3 linked regions of the Sus scrofa genome follow. The protein of the gene in region 3 interacts with the protein of the main gene of each other region in a pairwise test. Links are inferred from orthologs where the notes say so. Each region holds a gene or a part of one and is shown on either strand. Other genes may lie near its edges.

Evidence for each region. The genes of interacting proteins can lie anywhere in the genome.
Region 1: the proteins of CCDC155 (region 3) and PPP1R18 interact in binary tests that used the Homo sapiens proteins (3 or more experiments, as listed by UniProt). The two-hybrid records come from large-scale screens. The link is inferred for Sus scrofa from reciprocal best matches to the Homo sapiens genes KASH5 and PPP1R18.
Region 2: the proteins of CCDC155 (region 3) and bcl-2-like protein 2 interact in binary tests that used the Homo sapiens proteins (3 or more experiments, as listed by UniProt). The two-hybrid records come from large-scale screens. The link is inferred for Sus scrofa from reciprocal best matches to the Homo sapiens genes KASH5 and BCL2L2.

Annotation. Positions count from the first base shown.
Region 1 is NC_010449.5:23,219,457-23,223,802, forward strand, and holds the start of PPP1R18 (phostensin), read right to left. Parts: upstream 2,840-4,346; 5' UTR 2,626-2,839; intron 2,007-2,625; exon of another isoform or gene 1,945-2,006; intron 1,929-1,944; exon of another isoform or gene 1,680-1,928; intron 1,408-1,679; exon of another isoform or gene 887-1,407; 5' UTR 860-886; coding exon 1-859. Other genes in the region: NRM (nurim), read right to left, coding at 3,484-3,765, 4,081-4,257.
Region 2 is NC_010449.5:75,767,905-75,772,325, forward strand, and holds the start of bcl-2-like protein 2, read right to left. Parts: upstream 2,840-4,421; 5' UTR 2,725-2,839; exon of another isoform or gene 2,704-2,724; intron 2,451-2,703; exon of another isoform or gene 2,425-2,450; 5' UTR 2,337-2,424; intron 1,860-2,336; 5' UTR 1,852-1,859; coding exon 1,420-1,851; intron 793-1,419; coding exon 643-792; 3' UTR 1-642. UniProt on the Homo sapiens protein: Promotes cell survival. Blocks dexamethasone-induced apoptosis. Mediates survival of postmitotic Sertoli cells by suppressing death-promoting activity of BAX.
Region 3 is NC_010448.4:54,493,896-54,497,531, forward strand, and holds part of CCDC155 (protein KASH5), read left to right. Parts: intron 1-114; coding exon 115-202; intron 203-491; coding exon 492-614; intron 615-2,790; coding exon 2,791-2,849; intron 2,850-3,636. UniProt on the Homo sapiens protein: As a component of the LINC (LInker of Nucleoskeleton and Cytoskeleton) complex, involved in the connection between the nuclear lamina and the cytoskeleton.

The DNA.
Region 1 (4,346 bases), on a different chromosome or scaffold from region 3:
GGACCATCCCTGGAAGTGTCCTCTCTTCTTTCCTCCCACATTCCTCCAAGCAGTCTTTTCTTTCTTCTCCTGAGCTCAGCCTCCACTCTGATGCCTCCAGCACCAGACTCTGTTCCTGAGACTCTCCGGAGTCAGGCCTCCGTTTATGGGCGTCTGTCAGGCCCAGCTTCTCGTGGTCAGAGACCGCCGGGCTCAGTCTACTTTCCACCACCTCTTTTCTCCTGGGGCTTTGTTCTTGAGGCTCTGCAGGTCTTAGACTCCTCTCCGGAGTTTCTCCAGGGCTCAGCCTCCATTTCCGCACCTCTGACAGCCTGGAGCTCCGGTCTCCAGCCTCTCCTGGGCTCTGCCTCCAGTCCCTAGACTCCAAAGGCCTGGGGCTTGACTCTCGAGCTCCCCCTATCCCCAGCCTCCTCTCTCTGGCCTCCCTGGGACTGAGCCGCTCTTCTCTAGACTCTCTTTCCTTGGGGCTCTGATCCCTCATCTCCCCAGGGCTGGATCTCCACTCCCGGGCCTCCAAGAGCCCAGGCCGTCTTTCCGCAAGTAGCTCCTCACTCCGCTGCTGCTGCTGCTGCTGGCGCTCTTGCCGAATAAAGCGGTTCTGGTGCACTGGCCCAATGGCCTCCAGGAGGACGGCAGACTTGTCTGGGTCTGGAGGTCCAGCCTCCGTAGTCCCAGGCGCAGGGCTAGGCTCCCCAGGAGACAGACCAAGCTTGGCTCGGCGGCGCTCCAGAAGCCCCCGCTTCCAGGCTGGCATCTGGGACAGCCGTTCCCGTTCTGCCTTCTCCCGGCCACGAACGGCTGCCTCCTCCTGCCGGCGCCGGGCTAGCAGCTGTAGCTTCCAGTCCGGGATGGTGGCCATGGTCGACTTGGGGAGGGTGGGGGAGCGCTGGGGGCAGAGAACAGGAAGGAGAGGCTCCAGAAAGGCCCAGGGGGTGAGAATAGGGGTGGGCGGAGAGGAAGTGGGGGGAGAGGTGGGACTCGGAAGAGGACAGAGGAGCTGAGAGTGAGGAAGGACAGAGGGAAAGAGGGAGAAGAGGGAGGGCAGAAAAGGGGGAACACTGAGAACGCGAAGAAGGAACTAAGAGCCAGGTAGAGGGGGTGGGGGGAGGGAGTTGAGAGGAAGAGTGGAGATTCAGGGCAGAGGTAGGAGTCAGATTTGTCAGCACAGGTTAATGGGCATCAGACAGTCCCGAGGATGTGAGAAGACTGAAAAACGAAAGAAGTTGGCGCGAGGGAGGAAGAGAAAAGAGAGGCTGGGGGTGACGGGAACAGGATCCAGGCAAGGTTGCCTCACCGCTACCCAGGAGCGCTGAGAGCTGGAGGAGAGGTCAGGGAATCCCGCCGGAGAGGGGGCAGTGGGATCTGCACGGGTGTCGGGAAGGTGGGAGGGCGGAGAGTGGACGAGTCCTGGGGAGAAGGGGAAATCGGGGCAGAGGGGTGAGGGAGCTCCGCGGCTGCAGCCCGGCGAGTCTCAGCACGGGCCCCGGAGGTCCGGGCTCCCCTTCCAGCTCCGCTCGGGCCACGCCTCTCCGGCCCCCCAGCCCCCACCCCCCGCCCCGCACTCCGCCCCGAGGCGGGTCAGGGGAAATACCCTCCCCCGGGGACTTTCGGAACCCGGGCGTCAGACCTGCCAGCACATTCCCAGAACCCTGGCGTCCACCCCCACCCGGTCCCCGTACCACCGCCTGCCTCCTGCACCGGCGGTGCCCCGGGACCCAGGCATGCGAAGGACCAGCTCCACGCCTCCGGAGCCTGCCAGTCCCGTGCCCGGTATCGGCTCTCACGGAACCCCGACATAGCCGGCCATCCCCAGCCGGCTCTGGCCGCACAGACAGGCAATCTCGGCACAAAGAGGAGACAGCCCAAGGTCCGGGCCGGGGACGGGAGAAGGGACGGGAGAGAGGAGACACCCTCCCCAAGTCTGAAGCCCCTCCGTCAACTCACTCGCCGCGGGGCTCCCGGGGGCGGGGGTGCGGAGGAGCCTGGTGTCCGGAGAGAGGAGGAGAGAGGAAGAGGAGGAGAGAGGGATCGAGGGAGATCCGGAGACAGGCGGGAGGGGAGGAGGGAGGGGGAGGAGGAGGGAAAGAGGGAGCGGAGGAGGAGGAACGGAGACAGAGACCTGGGGGCCGGGCGGGGGGCGGCGACCGCTTTGTCTGAGGACAATGGGGAAGAGCGAAGGGGGCGCGGGGCGGAGCCGGACTAGGGGGCGGAGCCTCGCCCTCTTCGACCCCGCGTGGGATTGGGCTCCCGGACACCTCTTTTCCCGCCGCAAGCCCTGGCCTTTACGCTGTCTGTCCCCAGGGCCTCTCACCCGGCTCCCGCCCGGTAACCCGGGATAACCCAGGTGTCCAGACCCCCCGCCCCCAGCTCGCCGACCCAGGGCGGCGGCCCGTGACTCAGGCCCCTCGAGGGACTTGGGGAGGAAGCAGCAGCTGCTCTGAGCGGGGCCCGCCCTTCCCATCTCCTGCCGCTCCTCCCCACGCTTTTGCTTTCCCCGGCCAGCCTTTGTTAGTGTGGGGGCCGGGGCGGCCGCAGGGCTACGGGGGGCCCGTGGTGGTGGCGGTGGTGGGGCATCGGCAGGAGCTGTGCTCGGAAGCCAAAGGTTTCGGAAGCTCGCTTTCTTACCCGAGCCGCTGTCCCCACTCTTCAGCTTCAACCTGTCTCCTGCCGGGGCCCCCAAATCTGCAGCGAGGAAATTGGGGGATTTGAAGGAGGGGTGGGTCCTTTGGGAGTGGCCGCCGCCCAGCGGTCGCCAGAGGGCGCGGCGGATGCCTTGACTCGGGCTTGGCTCGCCTGTCCTTCCCAGAATCAGCCCTGCAGCTTGAGAGGCACTGGACAGACTGCATGCTACATGTAGAAAAACCAGGCTGGATTTTATTTTCTTGTAGCGCGAGTTCCTCGGGAGAGCAGGGAGCACTTAGTCACCTGAATTAAGAGCGGGAGAATCTGCCCAACTAAGTTCGAGGATAGAGCCCAAGGGCAAGGGCCTATGGAGCTGGAGAGGCCAGGCGGTGGGGCTGGCCTGCAGCTGCAAGGCCTGGAGCCTGGGGTGGGGGGGTGGGGGGCAGCCTCTATTGTCAAACTTGCAGACCTTGGTCCAGCTTCTAGGAGGTGGAGCAAGATGTGGGAAGAGAATCCCTGAGGCGCAGAGGCGAGTAACAGGGCCAGGGGATTGGTCAGGCCAGGCCCTTCTCCTTGTAAGGAGGTTGTAAACGGAGGGTCAAGCCCTAAACTATGAGGAGAAAGATAAAGTTTCCCACTCCCTCTTCCTGGCTGGTGAGAAGTGGACCTTGGCGTCCAGTAGCTGAAACTCAATTTAGGGTCTAGAGCTGGACCCAAGAAGGAGAGGCTTAAGCAGGGGAAGGGACAGGTCCTTCAGTCCTTGGATTTGGGTCTCTGGTCTGAAGCAGACAGGTCCTGGATGAGAAGGGGTTTGGAATTGGAGGGAGAGGAAGTGTAGGGCTTGGAACCAGGGTTAGCTTCTCACTCAGCCTCCCCATCCTGGGGCCGGGAGAGCAGGTGGAGTTTTCTTTGCAGCTGGGCCCGGAGGTAGCGGAGGTCTTGCTGGTCAAGTCCGTGAGCCAGGCCCAGGTAGAGGGTAAGGAGGAGAGCAAGAAGGAGGCGGTCAGTGCCCAGAGTGGGCACCACCCAGAGCACTGTCAGCAGCTCCACGCACACGGGGTGGCGCAGGTGAGAGAAGAGTCTCAGAGCTCGGGGAGACTTCAGGGCCAGGGGCTCACCCAGCCCCAGCACGTGGTAGTACACCTGGGAGAGGGAGAACGGCTTAGAAGTGGACTCAAGCCCTTGTCACAACTTGGCTGCCTCTTTCCTCCCCTTCCAGGCACCCTCCTTCTATAACTCAGGTTCAATCCAAGAACCACCCCTCTGAGACTTGGGCCCCTGAATTTTCCCCAGGTCCAGAAGAGCCATGGTTTCTGGCCTTTGGGGGGAGACTATCTTACAAGAAAGGGAGGCGAGGGAGTCAAAAGCAAGAGGAAGGAGGAGGAGGGACATCCTTGGAAGGGAAAGAGGTGTTCTGGAAAGAATCAGAGGTCTCAGGGAGGGATCTGGGAGCCTCACCTGTTTGAGGCCCATGAGTTCTGCGTAGTCAAAGACGAGAAGGATGCTGAAGATGAGGAGCCAGGAAATGACGTGGAGCACAAAGCAGAGGAGGGGCACCCAGGTGGCCCATGGCTCGGCCTGAGCCTCCCACAATACCGGGCCCCTGGGTACAGGCTCCCAGTACCGCATCACCAGCTGAAGAAGGATGAGGGGGTGGGTATCCGAGCAGCCCACTCCTGAAAGACCTAGACCCAGAGGCTGCCCCCACCCCAGGCTGACCTCCT
Region 2 (4,421 bases), on a different chromosome or scaffold from region 3:
TCAGCCTTGAGGCAGCAGGATAAGGGGGTGGGGGTGGGGGGGAGGGACAGAGAGCTGCACACCTTGTTCTTGCCACCGCAAGAGGGAATGTTTTCTCCTAGAGGAGTCCCACCACCACCAGATTAGACAAGCAGCCCAGCATGCACACGAGCACGCGTGCACATGCACACTTGTGTCCCCAGTGCCCACGGTCACAGCCCTCTCCCTATCCCCTGAAAACCTCAAGCTCCCATGCCAAAGGGATGTGCCCTCAGTGTTTTCCCCAAATCTCGCTCATTCAGTGGAAATCGCCAACCCCTTAAGCAAGTCCACCTGCCTCGGGGCTGCCTCGGGGCTGCAAATCAAGCTCCAGGTAGTTTTCTGTACCTACACCTATAGGCATGATCCCTCCCACCTCCCCCTGACCCTGGAATGACTCCATCTCCTGGCCCCCAGACTTTCCAAATACATTCCACAATGTCTCCAGCTCACTCTCTCAACCGCCTGCCTGGCATGCTCCGCTCCCTCACACGCTACCCTGCCCCTTCCCATCCCCGTTCCATGCCCCTCCATACCCCCCGCTTCTTCCAAGGGCATTCCTCTGCTCTGTTCCTGCTCTCCTGTCCCCCAGCCACACCTAGCCCCACCTGGCCCTGGACTTTCTCACTTGCTAGCAAAAAAGGCCCCTACAGTTACCAGGGCCCCCAGTGCCACGGCCCCCGTCAGCACTGTCCTCACTGAGGCCCAGTTCCCCTCCCGCAGACGCCGCGCCTCCTCCAGGGCCCCGTCCCCGTATAGAGCTGTGAACTCCGCCTGTGGGAGAGAAGGGAAGTAGGAGAGAAAGAAGGAGAAAGGGATATCAGGAGAGGAAAGAGTGGAGAAAAGAGGAGAGGAAGAGTTCCAGTTCCATCCACTGCAAGCACTACCCCACCCCTAGCTCCTCTCCAGCCAAAGCTCTACTGGCTGCCAGCCCCTCTGATCCCCCATGAGCGCCTGGCTCATTTGTCCTTCTCTACCTCAAGCTAATCCCATCCTTTCCCTGGCCAAAAACTCTGCTCAGAACGGGCCTCCTTTGCCAAGGCTCGCCTGACCACCACCCATCCCTGATCCCTGACCCCCCTCCCCCCATGCCATACACTCAGGTATAAAAGGTTCCTGACAGTTGGATGCCTTTTCCCTGCAGGCACTACCTGGCTACTGGGTATTCTGTACTCTGCTTTGGACCCTGAGCCCACCCAGTGATGACTGCATGGCAGCCCTGGAGGGCAGAGTCCAATGATGCCCAGACAAGGGCATTCCATTCCACCCAAATAGGGAGACTCAGACCTCACATCTCATTCTCAGCACAGCTGCCCCCAGCTCCAGCCAGAGCCCCCATCTTCTCCCTGGAGACCAGCTTTTTGGAGGGATGTGCAGAACAGCAATTGAGAAGCTTCTTACCCAGCCCCCACTGCTGTGGATCCAGTCGGCCAGCCGTGTCTCCAGGTAGGTCACCATCCACTCCTGCACTTGTCCCACGAGTGGCTCCATCTCCTTATTGACACTCTCAGCACACAGTGCAGCTCCGAAGACAAAGAAGGCCACAAGGCGGCCCCAGTTGGGGCCTCCTTGGAAGAGTTCATCAGAGACCTGGGTGAAGCGCTGCTGGGCCGAGCCCGGGGTCACATGCAACTGAGCTGCCAAATCTGAGAAGGTGCGCCGGAAGCGGGTCTCGAACTCATCTCCAGCTGCCCGCATGGCTTGGTGCAGCGGGTCAGCTGCTGGGCCCTCCCCGGGGCCAGCTCCACAGACATAACCCTTCTGCCTCAGCTTATAGCCCACAAAGTCTGCCACTAGAGCCCGTGTGTCTGGGGCTGAGGCCGGGGTCGCCATCCGGGCGGCTGTCAGAGTCAAACACAAAAGACACTGGCATGATTATAGGGTCAGAGACTCAGAAGGGGGCATTTCAGGTTTGGCCAGCCCAGTGAGACAGGGAGAGAGCGGGGAGGAAATCTCAGAGACCACTGGCCTGGGAGAGGTAAGAACAAGGAAATTAAGCCATGGTGAGGGGTCAGGGCATGAGGGCCTGGCCCTTAAAACTCATAATATGCCAAATTAAAGGTAAAACAAGTAAATTTCATTATTAAAATACTTTTTTAGATTCTTTCCATAAGAAGACAACAGCAGGGCTGTGACATCCCTACAAGCCCCCTCTCCACGGTATACACCTTTTTGGCTAGAGGAAGGGGCTTAGGGCCTCCCCAGAGGCCTGATGTGAAGATGCTGACAGAGGCACAAGATGGGGGAGGAGACAGGGCTGAAGGGAAAGAAGGAGAAGCCAAGGGTTGCCCAGGACAGAGAAGGAAGGGGACACTCACCCAGCCTGGATGGCAGCTCTTAGGACCCAGCGCTGGTGGCAAGGAGCCCCCAGCTGGGGCCTTTCATCCTCTTGCCCAGCGTGGAGCCCTGGGAAGGGGAGGGGGAGATCAGAGCTAGATGGGAAAGACCAGGGATCAGGGTCCGGGCTGAGAAGGGCTGGGGTTGCAGCTCCCGGGACAAGGGCCCTGCCCCCAACGCTCTACCAGCTGTGTGGCCGAATCCATGTTTAATGACTGTCCTCCCGGGAAACCCAGGGCCAAGGGCTTCCTGCCGACACCATCTCTACTCCTGGCTCCCCCCGAGTGCAGCCCAAAGGCCCAGCTCCTCCCTCACCCCCACCCTCAGCCAGTCTGCAACCCCGCCTGCCTGCCAGGTTAAGGATCTCACGGGTCAGGCCGCTGCCGGGATCCGGGCCGTTTCCTGGTGCAGGAGCTAGGAGGGAGGGAGAGAGGGAGGAAGGGAGGGAAGGAAGGAGGGAGGAGAAAGGGGGGGCGGGAGGGAGGGCCCGGCGCCGGGTGATGATGGGGCCCAGAGATGCGTCCAGAGAGAGGGGCGGGGCTGGGACGCAGGCTTGGGAAAGGCCACCACTCAGGAAGAAAGCGGGTGGCTGGAGACTGAGAAGCACAGGCCAGGAGGGCATTGAGGGCCCGGGCAGGGCTCCTGAGCCTGGAGGCTACTCAGAGAAGCCGACAGGGCCTCAAGAAACCTCAGAGCAAATTCAGCATTTCCAGGTCTCTGATGTTCCATGCACTTGTTGAACTTCTCCAGCCCTGAAGCAGCGGGCCAGAAAAGAGGATCAGCTCCCATTCCAATGGGAACTAACTGCCTGCCAGGTGTCTCACCCTGTGGGCCTGGCAGATGTGATACAGATACCAAACACCTCACTTCCTCTTTTCTCCAGGAACTTTAACCCAGTTGTCTCTTTGTGCGTTGGGGCTTTAGCCAGGCACCAAGGAGCCAGGTCTTGGATCGCAGGCAGTTTCTGCAGGTAACTTTTCTTCATTTTCTCTCTCTCTCTCTCTCTCTCTTTTTTTTTTTTTTTTTTTTGTAATCAGATCTTCTGTTTAATTCTTTCTACTCAGCACATGAACTTGTTTTCTTTCTTTTTTGGGGGGAGGGGTGTGTGTGCTGTGCCCCTGGCACGTGGAAGTTCCTGGGGCCCGGGATTGAACCTGCACCACATCAGCACCCCAAGCCATTGCAGTGACAGTGCTGGACCCTTAACCCACTGCAACCACAAAAGAACGCCACATGAATATGTTCTCTCTATGAAAAAGTCAGACAGTATAGAAATACGGAGAAAAAAATACAAGTCCTCAATCTTCCTCCCTCTGCCTTTTCCACAATTCCCATTCCCTTCCTGGAGGCTGCCAGTGTCAAAACTGATATTTGTCCTTTCAGGTTACGTGTAAATATATATATGCACCTATATGAATGTCTATTATTTAAATATGGCAGTATGTTGGAGTTCCCGTCGTGGCTCAGTGGTTAACGAATCCGACTAGGAACCACGAGGTTGCGGGTTCAGTCCCTGGCCTTGCTCAGTGGGTTGGGGATCCGCCGTTGCCGTGGGCCGTGGTGAAGGTTGCAGACGCGGCCCAGATCTGGTGTTGCTGTGGTTCTGGTGTAGGCCAGCAGCTACAGCTCTGATTGGATCCCTAGCCTGGGAACCTCCACATGCCATGGGAGCTGCCCCAGAAACGGCAAAAAGACAAAAAAAAATTTTTTAAATAAAAAAATTAAAAAAATAAATATGGCAATATGTTTAGACGGGGTGCAAGCCATCTGACCATCACTGATCCACATGAGGGCACACTCAGGTGTTCTGACTGGAGCCCACCAACTCTTAACTGGCACTTCCTTCAACTCCATCTGGAGGACTCTCTAACCAAAGGCCCAGAAAAAGTAACCTAATTCTCCGTTCCTGCTGGTTCCCTTTATTTCTATCCCAGTCCAAGCCTTGGTATTCCCATCTGCCCCTACGGTAACTAGAGAAGAAAGATCTTTTCTTTTTTTCTTTCTTTTTTTTTTTTTTTTTTTTGTCTTTTTTCCATTTCTTGGGCCGCTCCCACGGCATGTGGAGG
Region 3 (3,636 bases):
AGGGCCCACCGGCCTCCAGCCCTGAATGGGCAGTGCAGCGACCCCAGCATAGGCTGACTGACAGGTGGCGGGCAGGCTCAGAGGTAGCCTTCCCCCTCCCAACTGTGTGGCCAGGCCTCCCGAAGGGGCTCAGGTGAAGAGAGTGGACTGGACCAGGCTGCTGCCACCATCACTGGGTGTGGAGATCCAGGCCATTCAACAGGTGGGCCTAACGCCCAACCCACTGCCAGCCGCAACTCTGACCCACCCCTGACTCTCACCCCATCCCGGTTCCCCAGGACCATCTCCGTCTTTAACCTCATCCCTAACCCAGTCCTTTTCTGGGCACCAAACCCTTCCTGGGTGCTCCCTCCACCCACTCCCCAACCCAGCCTCACACCAGCTCCCTTCCACCTCCTGTCCTCACACTTCAGCCCATGTCCAGCCCACCTCTTGCCTATCTTCTGCATTAATCTGACTCTCCCTGGCCTCAGAAATAACTTCTCTCCCAGAAACAAGAAGTGGCAGCCTCGGGTCTCTCCAGCCCTCTGTGTGGAGTGTGGCGGTGGGAGGAGGTCGTCCATGAAAGCAATGAGGAAGCTGAGTTTCCACCTGAAGCCCCACCTGGGGGGCAGGTGAGCATGGGAGGGGTGCTGAAAGGGCCAGGTCCGGGGACTGGGAAAGGGGCCTGGGACGCTATGTGCATCCCTCTTCCCCAGCCCAGGGCAGAGGTTGGCTGAGGGCCCGCTAGGTGCTGGCCATGGAGCCCCAAGCCCAACGGGACACCACCTCTCTAGGCACTTGCCAGCTGATGTGGGAAATAAAAATGAACATAGTGGGAGTTCCTTGGTGGCCTAGTGGTTAAGGATTTGGCATTGTTACTGCCTGAGAATTTCTGCATGCTGTGGGCGCTTCCAAAAGAGGGGGAAAAAAAGTAAACAAAGCAAACACATAGATTTTGTAGTGGTGGTGGTGATGGTTGTTTCAAAAACACTGGCAGGACTCACCTTATATAAAATGGTACTACAGTGAGAAGGGGGTATGTGAATTGTTCTTCCTGACACCATAAAGGTACATTAAGCGTTTATCTTTTTTTTTTTTTTTTTTTTTTTTTTTTTTTTTTGCTTTTTAGGGCTGCACTTGTGGCGTATGGAGGTTCCCATGCTAGGGGTTGAATCAGAGCTACAGCTGCCGACCTACGCCACAGCCACAGCAATTCAGGTGGGATCCGAGCTGCATCTGTGACCTACACTACAGCAATGCCGGATCCTTAACCCACTGATTGAGGCCAGGGATCGAACCCACACCTCATAATTCCTAGTCGGATTTGTTTCCGCTGTACCACAAAGGAACCACAGGTTTGTACAGGGAAACCAACATTTGAGTTTATTTTGAAGAGAAAAAGAGAGAAGTTGGAGTTCCCGCTGTGGCACAGTGGGTTAAGAATATGACCACAGGAAACGAATTTGACTAGGAAACATGAGGTTGCAGGTTTGATCCCTGGTCCCGCTCAGTGGGTTAAGGATCTGGCGTTGCTATGAGCTGTGGTGTAGGTCACAGGCGAGGCTTGGATCCTGTGTTGCTGTGGCTGTGGTGTAGGCCGGTGGCTGTAGCTCCGATTCGACCCCTAGCCTGAGAACCTCCATATGCCACGGGTGCAGCCCTAAAAAGACAAAAAAAAAAAGAAAAAAGAATATGATTACAGTGGCTGGGATGGTGGTGGAGGTGCAGGGTTGATCCCTAGCCCAACGCAGTGGGTTAAAGGATCCAGCATTGTGACCTGTGTTGCAGCTGTGCCTCAGATTCAATTCCTGGCCCAGGAACTTCCATATGGCGCAGGTGAATCATAAATAAAAAGAGAGAGAGCAGTTAAGTGGGGTGAGGGAGGAGAGGCCTCTCAGACAGCGGGAACAGTACAAGCAAGGACATGGAGCGTGAAAGCATATAACATATTTGGGGAGTAGAGGGCAGCTGGGGGTGGCGAGCGAGAGATGAGGTTGGACCAGACCAAGAAAGGCGTTCCCTGTCTCTGAAGCTGAGAGACTGCGCTGTTCTCCATCAAAGCACGGGAGGGCTGTGAGTGGGGAGTACCAGGTCAGCTCTAGATATGGGAAGCTGGCTAGGGCCACGTGGGCACCCACCGGAGGCTGGGAGGCCAGGGAAGAGGCTGGGGCAGTGGTCCAGAGGTAGCGGATGAAGCTCGAGCCAGGCCAGGGCTTGGGGCTGGAGCAAAAAGGACGGGCAGAGAGAATTGGGCCCGGGAAGATGGGGCTGCCGACCTGCTGAGGGCCTGGGTGCTGGGAAGGGCATAGACAGCAAGATGCTGAACTTTCCTTTCCTGACCTCCTAAGGTGGGCGCCCTGAGGGGTGGGGGGCGCTGCTTGGGGGCAGCGGGTGCACAAGGCGGGAGCTCAGGGCTGGATTTAGTAAACAGTGCCAAGTGGGTGGATGAGGCCAGAGTCAAGGTTGGGTGTCAGAAAATGGAGAGAGACCTGGGTCCTGAGGGAGAGCAGCTGGCAGGGCCGCCCCAAGACTGGGAACCTGGGAGGAGCAGGGGCCTGGAGGGCAAACGCTGAGCCTCTCTGGGGCCTGTGTGAGTGTGAGAGGGTTGGGAGGACCTGGGTCCCGGGTCCCGAGGAGGAAGGAGGCTTGGTGGGGTCCGGAGCAACCGTCCAGTGTCTGGTTTCTGCCCCCGGAGGGGTAGTAGAGCCATCCTTGAGAAGGGGTCCAGGGGGAGGCAGGTCTTAGAAGCAGCTGGTGAATTCGTGCAGGGGTTGCAGCCTGAGAAACCCGAGCTTTTCTTTCCCGCAGAACAACTTGCAGGGAGAACCAGCACACCCTCCTGACGAAAGGAAGGAGCGATCGATGTGGTGAGAAGAGTGGTCCTCCCTGAGCCACGGCTCTGCCTTGGGGTGACGCCCCCTTCTTAGTGGATAGAGTGCAGAGCCCGGAAGAGCCCTGAAGGAGCAGTGGGTCACTCCTGCCCTCGTTCCTTCATGCTGCGGCGACCCTGGGCCCGTGGACTGGGTTGAGTCAGACCCAGTCCTGCCCTCAGCACCTTCCGTCTGTGGAGGAGACAGCCCCTGACCCAGACGGTTCTGGGAGGACACCCAGAGGGGGTGGCTTTGCGGGAGGCCCTGCTTGGGGTCCAGCAGGGCTGGCATTCATGTAGGAGACCCTTACACAAGAATACAGCTGTCAGGCAAGGGGGACAGCTCAGGCACTCAGTCCCGGTCACTGAACGCACCCCTCCCACGGCTTCCTGGGATGAATGAGGCTCAGATTGTGCCCCAGGAGAGCAACCAGACAATTGGGAGACGTCAGGGGCTCTGGAATCAGACAGCCTGGGTTCAGATCCCAGCTTGGCTGCTTGGTGATGGGATGGGGTGAGCCTCTGCCCGGTGAGACCGTTAGAGGCTCACGTGCAACCTCTGAGGACAGAGAAAGCGCTAGATATCCGGTTGCCCCTCCTCCTCGGGGCCTCTGCCTTCCTGTGGTGCCTCTTCCACCCCCCCCCAACCCGCCCCCCTCCCCCGGCCTCCCTCAGGCTCCCAGCTTCGGCCACTAATGAGGCTGCTGCCTCGGCCTCTAATTGGACTTGTCTGGGAAAGCTGAGATCTGGCAGGATGGGGGCCCCAGAGCTGTGACCTCTGCTTG